3 linked regions of the Bombyx mori genome follow. The protein of the gene in region 1 purifies or fractionates together with the protein of each later gene. This does not show direct contact. Links are inferred from orthologs where the notes say so. Each region holds a gene or a part of one and is shown in the gene's direction. Other genes may lie near its edges.

Region 1 (4,796 bases):
CCCCAAGCCCTCCAACTACGTTTTTGCTGGTTAGCCAGCGGAAGCCCTTTCACAATAGCCGCCGGTAACTAATACCCGATCTTCCAGACTGAATATTAAACAGTCGACGTCGTCTCAAAACCCGTAATTTCTGATCCTCCCGATCCACTAACGGTGCTTTTAGGTACCTTAAGCACCGGTAGCCGTTCTCGTCGAACCCGTCGCTCACGTCGAAGGGTTTGGCGAGTAAATTAACCCACAAACACAGCTCACTGAGTTTCTCACCGGATCTTCCCAGTGAAAGGTAGGAAATCTCAGAAAGAAAAATAGAATGAAGACACGATCAGACTTGTTGTGAATAAAATTTATCTGTCTACCTGGTTTTAAGCGATTATCGTAACAGCCCTCTCCGGTGTTTCGATCACATGAGTACTTTGCGACAAAACTAGGCCAGGTAATTCGTACCTATAGTTTTATAAAACACATAATATCTTCATATCCTGGGCTTGTTTCGCGAAATCTCTAAGCTGTTTATTTAAACAGCTTAGAGAAAAAGAGAGCTTAAATAGCTTAGAGAAAAACAAAAATATTTATTTTAATTTAGTGTTTCTTCACTTAAAAACAATTTTACTGAGAGCATATTTGATCCCATCTTATCTCGTTTCATTTCATTTCATCACAATTCATTATAGTCCCAAATAAATAAACTCGCTTCATTTCATACATAATAATATAATTCTCCACTCTTGTATATTTTATTTAACAAAAAATTTAAAAGATGGCGAGTATGGTCTGATACCTTCGCCTTTCCAGCGCGTAGAACCACTCAGTTTTGACCATAGACCTATATAGTAGGGACACGACATATTGTTCTATACGTACAATTGCTTATATAAATAGCACCCATTTTGAAGGCACATACATAAACATATATCTATCTCGTTCTTACTCAGCACTTTAACTCGCAGGAAAACAATATAACAGTATTTCAGTGCGTACATAAAATGAAACATGAATATACGTAAATATCTCCGTCTCCGTCTAATGAGGCCGAAAATCCGCCATGTTTAGCGCGCCAAATGTCATTGTCACGTCAGTTCGGCCGTCTGTTTTGGGTTGTACATTATTTATTGACTTTGATATCGATTTAATATGATTGATTATATAAAATTTCATAATTTATCATGCTTAAAACATACAAAAATAATAATTAAAACGTATTTTATAGGATCTCAAGAAAGTCGATGCCCTAAAACTATTATCTATATGTATTTAAATTCATTATGGAGCCCTCATCCGAAAAATCCATTTTTCGGTCGGAATCTATTGATCATGACACTAATCATAAATACCACTTTAAAATATGTCATCAAAACATATTTAGACATTCTGTTTAGATATTTCGGGAAAAAGGCTACCGACAAAATCTCTTCGGAACTATTTAAATAAAATAGTTTTATTCCGCAGTGAGGAAAACACTATTGTAAATTTGTTAAATATTTCATAATTAAGTGATTCTAGAGAGGAAGTCACAAGGAATGACGTTTGTAATTAATGAATAAATGTTCTGTAGGTGTTTTTTTTTTCACGCGGTCCCTTGATAAGTTTAAAATTTGAATCACTCTCAAGCGAAAGTGATTCAAATGGTGCGGCGCACCTTCCTTGGGGTGCGCTGCGGTAGTATGTTACGGACTTTAGAGTCAGCAAAACAATTAAAATAGATTGTTATAGCCTAAGAAAAACACAACTCAAAATACGATAACATTTAGCATGCTAGAAATGGGCTGATGGCTTTGAACTACGCCATATCTTTATGTTTTGCGACAAACGACAACTTTATAAAATCAATGTAGCAACTTTTAAAAATCATCATATCGTTTACTTGGCAAATTCGAAGGACGAACTTGTCTTAGATTTCACCCATCTAAATCATATCATATTTGCACATAACAATATACCTACTTACTTCCCATTAAAGTATAAATTCTACAAATAAATAATACTCAACAATATTTAAAATAAAATGAGCCAAGAACGTTTATCGATAAAACCTGATAACATTGAAATCTTTTGTACAGCACTAAAGCCGCCATGTTTTGTGGCCAGATGACGTCACAGGGGCACGAAATTTTGGTTGACGTTTCATTTCCATAGGTTTCCTACTTCATTGGTTTTGACAAACGACTTTATAATCAATGTTCTGTTACATTTTTTATTTTATTATTATTTTTTATATAAGCAGAAACACTACATAACCTATATCCTTGTGCTCGGTGTTCCCAAAATGGTCAGAAAACTTAAATTTCATGAAGGGAAACTGCTAAAGAAAGTAGACTTTATATCATGGAAGTTGGATAACAATATTAGTGAAGTGAAGGTTATGAAAAAGTTTTGTATACAAAAGCGTGAGGATTACACAAAGTAAGGCAATTTTGCAATTATGAGCTATGTATTATATTATGAGACAGCCAGTTTTATTTAAATGAAATGTCTGAGACTTTGTTAATAGGGAATATCGGTCGTTATGCCTAAATTCTAAATTCAGCACACTGAAGTCGTATTTGAGTCAAATATTTTACTTTAGTATCCTAAATTTACAACTGGTTCTACAGGAGGGTTCCACAGAAAGCGGGAATTTGGCCGCTTTAGATATAAACTGTCCATTAATTGATGTAAAATACAATTAATAATAAATCTAAAACTATTATTGTGTGAATTGTTAGGTATAACAAATTGTCTCGTGATATCAGAGAGCTCGCAAACAAGATAAAAGACCTCGATCCAAATAATGAATTCAGGACAGAGTCAAGTGCTCAACTTTTGGAAAAACTTTACCAAATTGGATTGATACCGACAAGATGGGATCTTGCCTTGGCCACTAATGTCTCTGCCAGTTCTTTCTGTAGGCGAAGGCTGCCTGTGTTGATGGTTCGAAGTGAGTATCACTTGTTTCAATAAACATTACAATAACATATTTCTTGGAATTTGCATTTTTATTAATAAATGTCATTTATAATTATTGATGTTTATAAATGCACAGATAAAATGTCAGAAACTATTAAAGAAGCCACAAAGTTTATTGAACAAGGACATGTAAGAGTGGGACCTGAAGTAGTGAAGGATCCTGCATTCCTTGTCAACAGATCACTGGAGGACTTTGTTACATGGGTTGATGGTTCAGCAATAAGAAAACATGTTCTGGAATATAATGAAATGGTTAGTATACACAATACACATTCATTAAACTTTTTAATGTTTATTCATATTTCTAAGTTTACTTACATATTGATAATATAATTGTGAAAAAGCTCTGCGTAGAGGTTTAGAATAGTTGTGAAAAACAACTTTTGTTAAATGGAAAGCAGTAATGCATTAAATAAATTTTAGAACTTGTCCACAGCATAATGTCACACTGGTTTTGATATGAAATTAAAAAAAAATGAAAACATTATATAGGGATCAATTATTTATAACATTGTCATTAACAAAGACATGGATGTGTTTGCATAGATAAAACGGAAGAAACTTAAACTAATATTTCTTTTTTTTTCTTTTACAGAGAGATGACTTCGATATGTTATAATTTTATATAAGGCTTTAGTTATATAAGAATACTTATTTTAAGATTCTGTACTGTTACCACAACAACAAGTGAAAGTACCAATACACTTTTTAATGCACACTATTTTAGTTTAAATTTTTATTTCGCCTTGAAGTCATTTTTATTTAAAATATAGATAAATGATTCTTTCCTTTCAAAGAATCATAAAATACATACATTCCTTTGTGCTCTATGTATAGTATTCCACCAATATAACTTGTTTAAAGTGTAACTTCAATGATCTTAAGGTAAACTTCATTTAATACAGGATCTACCAGTGTTGATGGTTTACTTTAAATATGATCTGTATTGTAACCATTTTGATCATAAGCTATAAAAATTTACAATATTTGTTGAAATACAACAAAATCTAAGACATCCTACCTACCACCAGTAATTATGCAAATTATAATTTTCTGGGTTTGATTTATAATGATCTGCTTTGAGTTTCATTATTTGCAATCTCAGAACCATAAAATGTTTGCAGCAAATCTCAATTAGATAATCTATGACCCCACTAGATACTCTAACTTCCAAGCTGTCACAAAAGTTGCTAACTTTATTTCCGCAGTTCCGAAGTTTGACTTTTAAAAATACGTTTGTGTTGTTTTCCTGCCTATGCTTGAGGGGTTATGCCAGTTCAACACCGGGCGAGTAGGTGAGCTTACGGGGCTCTAACCTGACGAAGTTGCTAACACTAGCTCTGGCAAGAACATGGTTTCGCAGAATCTACCACCGGATCGGAAACGCGACTCTCTGAGAAGATCCGGAGAGAAACTCAGTGGAATGTGTGTGTCTGAGGGTTAATTTGCCGAGCCCTTAGTCGCAAGCGACGAGTTCGACGAGCACATTGACCGGTGCTTGAGGTACCTAAAAGCGCCGATAGTGGATCGGGAGGATCCGAAATGCCTTGATACGTTTGTGCAATTCACTGTGGCGTTTCAATGCCCACATGTTAGCAATCATCGATGTGTCGCTAGAGACACATTAATCCCCTTATGGATATTAATCATGTCACACACACTTTGAAATTTTTATGCCGTAACTTATCGCGGGATTGTTTATAATTTATTTTTCTTTTAGGTGTAGGGAATCCTTCATTATCACTTTCTCCAACCGATTATTTGTTTAGCTGAATAACCTTGAATTAATACGACCGAAATGTGTAAGGAAGTTACGTAAAGATAAGAATCTCACAGTGCTACCGCAATTTTTT
Region 2 (5,605 bases), on another chromosome or scaffold:
AGTGCACTGCGATTGTGATGTATTTTTTTTTTTTTTTTTTTTTTTTCGGGCCGGGGGCCGAACCTCCTACGAGGTCCCCGCGCATACGGGGCGCGCGGGGTATGTGAGACTCAACGATCTGCAGGTGTTGAGAGCAGATCGCGGGCCCAAGGATTTTAGGACCCACCCACTAAACGACTCCCCTGCACTCTTACACCCGACGTCCGATCCTCTCCGAGGTCAGAACCCGCGGTCAACACTACAACCAGACGGCGCGGCTCACCCCAAGGACGCCCAGCCGACGGAGCCTTCGAGGCGAATCGAAGGCTCTGAAACGTCGGCCGTCTCGGTACGGCAGCCCGTCAGGCCGCCCAGACAGTGCCGCTGGTGCCCCGGAATACCCCGCTGGACCAGAACCAGCCTGCCGGGTCGGGACGCGATACACTGCCAACCGGTCGCTCTTAGTAGTATTAGATGTAGTTTGACCTGGCTTTGGATTTCGGATATTGATACTGCAGTACTGTTGACCCTTGCTTGTTAATTTAGACAGTGTTTATGCCTTGTGGATTTCGTCGATATGGCCGAACGTACGCAGAGAATTGTTCTAAATAGTCAGACACGTGAATTCAAAATTCAAATTCAAAATCATTTATTTCAACTTAGATGTCAGTATAACACACTTGTTGAATGTCAAAATATAAATAACAATGTTAACTCTACCACCGGTTCCAAAAGTCCTGAGAAGAACCGAAACAAACTCAGCAGTGAGTTCGTTATACGCCTTCGTAAACTATTTCGATCGTGAATCTCAAAATGAAGGGCCAATTTTACCTGTAACGTCAGTGGTTGAACGCGCAGCTGATGCGCTTAATATTGGACAACGAATTGTAAGACGAATAACTAAAGAAAAATATGGCGAAACTGGCACAGAAGAAAGTAAACTTAAAGATTAATTATATTTTTTTCGCGAATAAATTATTTCACATCACTATTGTAATATGTCAAAACGGCCATCATAGCGTGCCGATAGTGCAATGACAGAAGAACGAAGTTATAGAAGGTATAGATGTACATACAAACAACATCAAATAGTTATTTAATATTATCTACTTAAATACAAAATAAATAACAATAACGTTGTGTACAAATTCAGCACTTTGTCTTGTTTTGTCGTGCGCACAAAACTTATGTTGCAAGCCAGATTTTGTTTCTTTTTACTTGTGTTTTTATGTATCTTTTTAGCTTGTGATGTGTATTGTGTGCCTAATAAATAAGTAACTAAATAAAATATATGGATATTATGGATATAGGTATATATATAATTTAGTAAACATTATTTATTAGATTAATAATCATTGTATACCTTTATTTTACTTCTTTAAAATGGTTAAAATTTAAACGTTTTGTCATTTTTTATGGATCTCTCTGAATATTGTTGTTAATAGTACATCGCAAGATACCTGTCTTATCTTTTTAAGAATTTATTTAAGTAAAAACGCTTTGTTGGAGTTTGAATATGAAAGTAATGGCAGGCAACACTTGACACATGTAAGGTTACGGTTTTCGAATATTGGAATGCATAATTAAATGCTTAAAACAAATAATTGTCTTCTCTTATGTGATGACAAAAACTTCTCATCTAGACACGGTCAGAGCAACATCTTAGAGTTTTATAAAAATAAAATATTGTAATGGTGTAATAGTGTACAAAGTATTTTCAATATAATTACCTATTTTAACCATGAAGAGAGTGCTTTTAAATAGCCCCTCACCTCCAGAACCCAGTCCCCTCAAATTTGACCGTCCAACACGCTTAAAGATTAATTTTAGTGATAAGAGCGCCTCTTGTACAAATTAACTTATTTTCAATGAATATATTTAGGTTGGATGTGCAATAACTTTATGTTTTCTTTTTTTCTCTTTACAAAACATAAATACTTCGTGGAAAAAGGGTTTTTGAATGAAATTATATGAGCGCGAATAAAATACAGTCATGGTTTCATTTTATACTTGTACATTTTCACAAATTTTAGAGGTTAATAGTAATAGATTAATAGTGGGGCATTCTAAAAAATGACTAAAATGTTTTGTTCCAATAAAATCATTTTGGCCGTATTTGGGCTATGTTCCCTTTGCGTGTCCGTTGAATGAATTCAATAAAAAATATATTCCATGTGAGTGCTCCCCTTCCCCTCTCGGATATAAGTGTTTATTTTATGATATTACGAGCCTATGACTTACTTAGTACATATAATAGGTAATAGGTACCGTATTTAAGTAATAATCACTGAGCCAGTAATCACTACCGTACGTAATAATTACCTACCAATCATCTGATTCATAGTCATAGTTAAGACTCGAATATATTAAGTGTATAAATCTTTGGTTATACATACACTTGTTGCACTCTGAGATATTATGTTTAATACCCATGACTTGTTGACTTAAAATAATGAAGGGAAAGAAATACTTTGGTAAAAAGAAGACAATAAAAGACCACATTAGTAAAAAGAAAAGAAAAAGTTCCAATGATACATATGTTACAAATAAAAAGGCTAAATTCAATCGATACAAAAATGTACAAAAGGTTGAGGAAGAGCTTGAAAAGAAAAAGCAGATGGAACGGAAGTTTCAAAGGGAACAAGAAGCTTATTCTGAAAGCGAAGAGGAACAAGATGTATACGGGCAACTGGTGTCTTGTTTTAGTAAACCAACAAACGCAATAGTAGTAAATAGTGACGAAGAAGTAGATTCTGATAGCCCCAGCCCTGAAATTGAAAGTTGTGCTCGTAAACGTGCTCGAAATGAGGAAGTTAGTAAGACCGAGAGTGACAGTGACTATAGTGATAGCGAAGACAATGCAAAGGGCCAAGATTTTGATAACACTGTAAGTCAAACTTGTTATATTCTCTGATTGTTATAAGAGACTTTATAAAATAAATTGTAAAGTAATGACATTGAATTAGTTCATATTTGCAGGTTAAACGTCTACAGAAAAAAGTTCTTAATTTTTCATTCATTTCAGGCTACTTTTGAAACAGAATTAGACCACGAAACTGATGATTCGTTCGTAAAACATCTACAATATGATTTACCTGATGAGTTGCTGATTTCATTAAACAACTCGCCCATGACAGTTTCTACTATTTCAAAGACATGGCCAGTGATTGGTAACATAACTATTGTTATACCTAGACCAATTGAAACAGCAATAAAGAAAGTTAAAGCTAAAATATCATTATTGGAAGATAAAACTTTTGCTGAACCCGGTACAGCACCTAGTCTTATTCACAAGGTTGATTTTGAAGAATTGAAAATAAAATCACAAATACATGGAAACATTGTCTCGGCGAATAAAACTAGTTTGGTAAAGAGAGATCTTGAACTATCTGAAGTTTTAACTCCATTACAAAAAGAAATTTTTTCAATACTCAACAACTATCAGGATTTGTATTACCCTGAAAGAACATTTAGTAATGCTGATGAAATTCGTTACATATATTGTCTTCATGCCATCAACCATATGCTGAAGACCAGAACACGAATTTTACATCATAATGCGAAATTGATAAAGAAAAATGATATTTCCGATGATTATAGAGATCAAGGATTAGTTCGTCCCAAGGTAATAGTTTTAGCAACTGACAATTTTTTTATGGTTTTTTGAAATGAATCTGATAATTACAGATATTACACTTCTAGATATTTTACTAATTGGCATGGCAGCTTTTGTGAGGTCAACCTGATGTTAAATGCATACTAGAGCCCATAGACATTAATGTGAATGCCTCCACTGACACCCCACTTTAAGGCATAAGGTTATGAACATAAAGTCTCAATCAAACTGTATAACGGCAATCCTACCTTGGGATTGCTGAACTGCAGAAAATAGGCAAGATAGTTGTGTCTAAATGTGTGGGCTTACAGTACTTTTTAAAGCCAAGAAACACACAAATTTATAAGAAGTTTTCTAAGGCTGTTCCCCTGCTGGCATTGCTGATATCCGTGAGCGACGGTAACCACTGACCATCATGTGGGCCGTGCATTCGTCTGCCTACAAAGGCAATGAAAAACTGAAAAAGTCTGACATAATAGAGTAAATAACAGCATGGGAATAACAGCACATCAAACTGTTGTCTATATCCAAAAATCTTCAAAAGTATTTGAAGGACACACAGAGTAGATAGACCCTTATAAACTTTGCTAAGAGACATGAGGAGGCTAATTTGAGCTGTAACTAAAGAATTGATCTTTCGGCTTATATAGGCTTGCAGTGTATAGGCCACTCGGTTCCCTTTATTAGTTGCTGAAAATTAGCAGTTGGCTTGAAGGCTTAATTATTATTATTATTAACACTTTATTTCAGTGTTTTTTTTTTTTTTTAAAACCATAACATTTTGTTAGTAATAATTACTTATAATCTATGTTAGTAACTTAAAAAATGAGAGGGGCGATAGTGGTGACCGTATTGGAGTTTATGGTCTGAGCCAGTACATAATGAGATAATTCAAAGGTTGTGAATCCTTAGTAACTCCTCTTTTCACTTTTATTAAAGTTCTTGTTGCTTAAAATTACTCTAATTTAACATTGTAATATATTTTCAGAACTAATTTTACCATTTAAAATTGGGATTATTATTTTCATTTCTAATATATAAATGTAAATACATAATAACAAAACTACTTTTACAAATTAGTTTGAGATCTAGCTAGCCTTAATTATGTCTATAATTATGAAAATACTGAATTTGTGTTGTTATGTTTAATAAGTTTGAATTGCAATTAAAATACATCTCTAATTTTAAGGTACTAGTAATGGTTCCATTCAAAAATGCAGCTTACAGAGTAGTGAAAACCTTAATGGAAATTTTGGTGCCAAAAGAGGCTGGTCAGGTGCTCAATAAAAAAAGATTTGAAGACGAGTTTACAGGAGGTGAACTTATCATGCCACGTAAAAATCCAAAGCCTGAGGACTATGAACTCATGTTCACTGGCAACACAGATGATACATTCAGGATAGGCATGACGGTCACCAAGAAAAGTCTTAAGGTAAACCTAAATTTATCTGTGCAAAGTTAATTTTGAGTAAGAAATCTGAACAGTAATAAAGGTAATACAAAACATAGCATTCACACATTTCACATAAAATTGTCAACACAGTATATTTACCAAAGACATTTCATTTAAAAAAATATACTGCATTTTTTCCTTAAATATGCATCAGTATATGTTGTCCCTAAATTTGTAAGTATGAAAAAGTGAAAGCGAATAATTAATTGGTACACAACAAATTTGTATATTTATAATTGTTTATTAAAATATTTAAATTTCAGTTTGTTTCCCATAATCTTGTTTCACAAATGAAGTTAGTAATGTGGACGGGACTGGATGTAAAATTAATGATCAGATTGTAAATTAATTTAAATTATCAGTTATATACAGATTTTTACTCATCAGACATCATAGTCGCATCACCACTTGGTCTACGAATGTTGGTCGGAGCTGAAGGGGAGGAAGACAGAGATTATGATTTTTTGGCTTCCATAGAAATTTTGATTATGGATCAAGCGGATGTGTTCTTAATGCAGAATTGGGATCATTTGCTACATGTTCTTGACCATTTTCAT
Region 3 (5,590 bases), on another chromosome or scaffold:
ACAAATTAAGTAGTGTGAGCATTTAACGGCTATCTTATTTTTGTTTTTTCTTTATTCGAAGTCCATATAGTTTGGCCACTTGGAAGGCATGAACCAGAATGTTGCAAATATAATGCAACTACTCTCCCAATGTCATGCACCCCTTTTAGGAGCAACACAATGTGATCATCTATTTCACAATGTGTTCAATTATTTGGTACATCCAAGGTTTAACAAAAAGTCATATTGAAATAAAAAAATATTTTAAATCCATTTCTTATAGTTATATGACTCATGGTAACTCTGAACTTTGCATGTAAAGATCTATTGAAGGTACTTCAGCTGTATCCTCAGTGTGATATATATAAAATGAAGAAAACAAGACAACCACAGCTGCTAAAATTTTAGATGATCGGAAAGTAACTTTTGTCAGTAATAACAATCCAAAATATGTTAAAACTCTTTTCTTGGCATCATTTACAATTTTATTTTTTTGAGATTCATTCAAACACATCCCTGATATTAATATGTCACTTTCTCTGCATGTTGAACAATTTTTTCTTCCTGGTCCTGTACATGTTTTGCAGGAATCATCACATTTTTCACATAAAAAGGTGCCTTCTTGATTTATACAATAATCATCATTCTCACATACCTGTGGCAATGCACACTCATTAATATCCACACAAGTATTTTCTTGCATTTCCCAACCATTACTGCATGTAATACAGTCATCTAAACTCTCTCCTGTACAAGCGGCACATGCTGCATGACAAGGTCTACAACTGGCATTTTCAGAAAAGAATTTTTCAGCACATTCTTCACATAAATTGCCAGAATATCCACTTTTACAAATGCAAGTTCCGTTGCCCTCCCTTGTACCATCTCCGTGACATTTACCATTTCCACTACAAATTTCATTGTTTAAATTATGTGGGCAAGGAGAACAGGATTCTCCATAATGGGACAGAGGACAGCAGTTTTGTAATTTCTGAATACACAGCCATGTATACAAATTAACAGTATCATGATCTTCACTGTAATACCAGTTTTCTAATACATTTTCAGCTACATCTGCTAAAGAGTAGCATTGATCTTTATTAGCCTTTAGTTCAGAACATAAACCTTCTTGAATTTCTACCAAACGAACCTCACTTCGTGCATAGGTTTTTAGTTTAGCTTCTTCCCAAGCAACATCGCCCCCTTCGTATTTTCCTCGTGATGTTTTTTTAAACCAGTAATTGAAGGAGTCTGTCAGAACTTTACATTGCTGACACTCATTCAATACATTAATATTTTTATCGGTTGATGGTGTACTAATTTCCTTACACAGTATTACTTGACAACTAAATAATAAGCACAACCAAAGATATTTGTAAGAGTTGGGGTCCATTAAATATTGAAAATTATTAAGCATCTTGAGATTCGTAGAAACTAGGTGTTTGTATTGTATTCAAGTTAATATTGTAGTCTTCACTCGCAAGTTGCAATTTAACAAACACCATTAAATTTAAAAATTGATTCAAATTTAAGTAGGTAAGCCAGCGTCACAAAGTACCTAAATCGAGTTAAGACTTCTCTTCTCTGTGTAACACAATATTGATTTTCTAGATTTACTTACTCTGCGCGTACCAGGGGGAGACACGAGACACCTTACTTAGTGACATTTTAAAAACCTGTGGAATGCCCCGGCGCGGCGCTTACATATTTGGGTTTTAAAGTGAGGGAATCCATACAGAGTCCCTTCTTTATTTCGCCGTAAAATCATGTTTTATGTAATTAACATCACAGTTGAAACAATCGGAGTTTTATATTAAATTAATATACATTATATTTCATTTTTCGTTTTTAAATTTTCGGCGGTAAAAAGGTCCCGTGTCACAGACTATCTTCTTTTTTCCACCTCTCGTACGCTCTGGCTTACGCATCACAAAAAAGTGCGTTCTTAAACGCCAGAAAAGTATGACCCACTTCTATTACTCTAACTTATAATAATTGTTTTAACAGAAATTGTTTTATTTATAGTGCGCGCGGAAGCGCTAGTCACCTCCTGAGGTATGTAATGTTGTTGTGTGATAAGGCCTTTCATTTTGGGAAATGAATTCTACTGTCAGTTTATGGAGGGTAGAGGTAAGGAGAACCGTCTCTGTGTGTAAAAAGTGTCCGTTAAAATCTGCTAAGTAAGGTTAGTGCTACAGTAACAACCGGGTAAATTTTAAAAAAGGCGCTGAAAGTTATTAGAATATGATAGAGGAAACTGCTCAATTCATATTATACCTCTGCCTATATGCTAGCGCCATTCTGGAGGATTTTTGAACTATTATTTAGTGCTGAAAGTGGGACGCTTTTTCAAGCTTCCTCCCATATGAGACGGTTCTCCTTACCTCTACCCTCCATAGTACAAAGTATAAAGTGTATTATCTATGGTATAGATTAGGCCAACATTGGAGACTTTTTGGCGGGAACGCGAGGAGTGAAGTTGTGTGATTTGTTTTATTTTGTCTATTTAGTGTTTCTTCGGGTTTAAATGTGTAATAATGGTGGTTTATTAACTTTTTAATATCTGTGAAAGTGCACAAATGTGGGAAAATGACACAAAGCCGCTGGACGTAACTTCTCGGGATCCGTCAAAAAGTCCACTGAAAAAATCTTAGTAAATGACCACCATTTTACTTTGATTATATTTCATCCCATTTCATTTCATTTAATTTCATCCCAGTTGATTAATGTCTCAAATTAATAATTTCATTTAATTTCACTCCTTAATATCATTTTTCATAAAAATATGAATATAAATTAAAATAAGACATGACTTAAAGGTCTCAGTTACCAGGTCATAAAATCCCATAAAAAAAGAAAAGCCTACATACATTGGCTATCGCTAATTTCTAGACATTGTAAAAGAAAAAATACTTTTTGTTAAAGTTTTGGTTGTCATGCTGTTGAGTACCAAGATTCAAACCTTTCCTCATTTCTTGTCCCGTATGTACATTAATTACGGTAATAATATGCGTAATATGTAATATTCACGAATGATTCAATTTGCTACAAAAATAACCTTAGCCTTGCGGAGTGTCGTGTTAGTTTCAATTTAAAATATTTTAAAACTTTATGATATCGACGTGATGGCTGATAAAATAAGGTAAATATGACTGTCTTATAAAAATAAATAACGTTTAACCATTTGGAATAAAATGCTATAAAACGAATAACACTTTTACATAAGCAAATAACACTATGCAGATAAGTTTTCTAAAGCACATTTCTCACCATCAGTTTAAATGTAGAGAATCACAAAATCAATTTTCTTATAAAAACTGTTCCCTTAAGGTTAATTTCTATTTTATGTTCATAACTTAAAATTTATTAGTGCCATACACTACTAGCACGTGAGATACTCTATGAATAATTATACTATCTAATTAAGAACTACCTTATAACCAGAAAACGATGTTTTTTTTCTTTCTAAAATAAACACTGCGATCTGATTGTATACATTACTGAATCTAGTGTTACCTCCCATTATTTCTTTAAATGTAAAATAATGTCTGCTTTAAGTAACAAGCTTTATTTATTTCAGAGATTATCTTTTTATCAATATAATTACGAATTTAAGGTGTAAACAAACAACCTAAAGTCTAAAAGCAACGGGTTACCTTTAAGTAACCAGGCATTCCATTATAATAAGAATATTAGTTTGTGCAATTGCTAGTCAGGGAACATGTAAAGATTTATTTACAACAGGTATCCTATTGTAAATAGGATTTATTTACAATAGGACCGTCTTCTGCTAGGAACCTAAACTGAACTTCTGCTAGGAGCCTAAACTGAAGGTTTTTATCCAAGCAGAGCTCCTTGTTGAATTTTCAGGAGTGTAAGGATGGTGTTTGTAAAATCCACCCCACTAAGTATACAAAATAGATGCAAAATGCAGATGTTGCATTTCCCATCACTTATTCACATAAGCCTTATTAGAAGTTTTCCTTACACTATTATGTGTGTTATAACAAACTCATCTTGTAATCATAGTTATTTCTGTATGCTTTATTCTGCACATGTAGCTTAATGACAACAAATCTATTAACGTCAAACGATGTGACTATGCAAAAAATGAATTTGCCAGTGTACCAATTTTCCTAAGTATATATGTAACTGTTGGTTGAATACACTCTGTATTGTAAGTCTACCTATCTTGACCATTTCTGGTGCAAACTAATCCCCTGTTTTATTAATGGGGAAGACAGGCCTCATATTATAGAATTTAACTTTTAATGTTATGTCCTATGGTGGGTGTGTGAATTCATGTTTTGTGTGGGCTAGGAGTACATCTGCTCACTTATAAAAATTTTAATATCTAAAAAGAGAAGCCTTTCAGTTGTTGTTTCAATATAATTTAGCCTGGCAAAAGATTTGATCTTACGACCCTAAAGTTGAGTAAATTCTGAAAGGCAGGCTGTATACTTTACACTGCATAAAGGCAATAGTTGATTCTTATTCCTTATTAGTTGTCACAACCAAACCACACATAATTATTATTTTTTATCATGAAATTTATCTACTTTTCAGAATAAATTCAAGATTTGACCAAAAAGAGAATTATGCCCCTTCAGATTCAGAAGATGGTTATTCTGAAAATGAAAAGCGATTATTGGATAAAGTACGTAAGAGAAAACATGAGTCTGATAGTGAAGAGGAAATGTATGCTTTCTCTGATTCTGACGAGGAATCAGATCAAAAGGATGATTTGGGAATAGCAGACAGTGATGTTGAAGGACAGGAAAAATCAGACGATGACTTACCTGATTCAAAAGCTTGGGGCAAAAATAAACAATCATACTATGCCACTGATTATGTTGACAAAGATTATGGAGGCTTCGGTGATGATGAAGAAGCTGCTCTTATGGAAGAAGAGGAGGCTAAGAATATTCAGAAGAGATTGCTAGAACAACTTGGAGATGAAGATTTTACCTTGGATTTCTTTACTAAACATGTACAAGACGCTGAAGAAAGAGAAACAGTAATAAAAAGTGATTTGAGCCAGTTGTCAAAAAGACAAAAGCTACAATTGTTTGAAAAGGAAAGTCCTGAGTTTTCAGGTCTTGTTGATGACTTCCAAACAAAACTTACTGTAGCTAAAGATAACCTACATCCAGTCTTGGAATTAGTAAAAGATGGCAAATTACCAAAATGTGCAGCATCAAAGTTTGTAAAAACAAACTATGATCTAATTCTAAATTATTGTACAAATATTAGTTTTTATTTGCTTCTAAAGAGTCAGCGAGTAAACATTCAAAATCATCCAGTTATAAAAAGGTTGTATCAGTACAGACAAATGTTGAATAAAATGGAACCGATATATTTGGAAGTAATTAAACCGCAAATAGATAAAATTCTTCTGGCTGTGAAGAACAACCTTGTTTTGGAAGTAAATGAACAAAAAGAAGCTAAGAAACGCAAGTTAGAAAAACTTATTTCAGAATCAACTCCCAAGAAATTGAAACTTATCAGTGCAATAGAAAAAGATGAAGGAGAAGACACTGGAGTATCTGATGATGAAGAATATGAAGGGAATGATTACTTTAAAGATAACGATAAAGTTGAAAATGTGCCA

The links.
Region 2: the proteins of U3 small nucleolar ribonucleoprotein protein IMP3 (region 1) and U3 small nucleolar RNA-associated protein 25 homolog purify together in Homo sapiens (affinity purification with mass spectrometry; 3 studies listed by BioGRID and IntAct, with this or other methods). This does not show direct contact. The link is inferred for Bombyx mori from reciprocal best matches to the Homo sapiens genes IMP3 and UTP25.
Region 3: the proteins of U3 small nucleolar ribonucleoprotein protein IMP3 (region 1) and something about silencing protein 10 purify together in Homo sapiens (affinity purification with mass spectrometry; 3 studies listed by BioGRID and IntAct, with this or other methods). This does not show direct contact. The link is inferred for Bombyx mori from reciprocal best matches to the Homo sapiens genes IMP3 and UTP3.

Annotation. Positions count from the first base shown.
Region 1 is NC_085121.1:981,945-986,740, reverse strand, and holds U3 small nucleolar ribonucleoprotein protein IMP3, read left to right. Parts: upstream 1-2,263; coding exon 2,264-2,400; intron 2,401-2,702; coding exon 2,703-2,914; intron 2,915-2,953; exon of another isoform or gene 2,954-3,019; coding exon 3,020-3,195; intron 3,196-3,261; exon of another isoform or gene 3,262-3,391; intron 3,392-3,538; coding exon 3,539-3,562; 3' UTR 3,563-3,661; downstream 3,662-4,796. UniProt on the Homo sapiens protein: Component of the 60-80S U3 small nucleolar ribonucleoprotein (U3 snoRNP). Required for the early cleavages during pre-18S ribosomal RNA processing. Part of the small subunit (SSU) processome, first precursor of the small eukaryotic ribosomal subunit.
Region 2 is NC_085131.1:5,807,197-5,812,801, reverse strand, and holds the start of U3 small nucleolar RNA-associated protein 25 homolog, read left to right. Parts: upstream 1-2,142; 5' UTR 2,143-2,431; coding exon 2,432-2,866; intron 2,867-3,004; coding exon 3,005-3,604; intron 3,605-4,784; coding exon 4,785-5,027; intron 5,028-5,410; coding exon 5,411-5,605. UniProt on the Homo sapiens protein: Component of the ribosomal small subunit processome for the biogenesis of ribosomes, functions in pre-ribosomal RNA (pre-rRNA) processing. Essential for embryonic development in part through the regulation of p53 pathway.
Region 3 is NC_085114.1:10,761,668-10,767,257, forward strand, and holds the start of something about silencing protein 10, read left to right. Parts: upstream 1-2,127; 5' UTR 2,128-2,164; exon of another isoform or gene 2,165-2,489; 5' UTR 2,490-3,104; coding exon 3,105-3,121; intron 3,122-4,545; coding exon 4,546-5,590. Other genes in the region: protein disulfide isomerase Creld2, read right to left, coding at 272-1,396. UniProt on the Homo sapiens protein: Essential for gene silencing: has a role in the structure of silenced chromatin. Plays a role in the developing brain. Part of the small subunit (SSU) processome, first precursor of the small eukaryotic ribosomal subunit.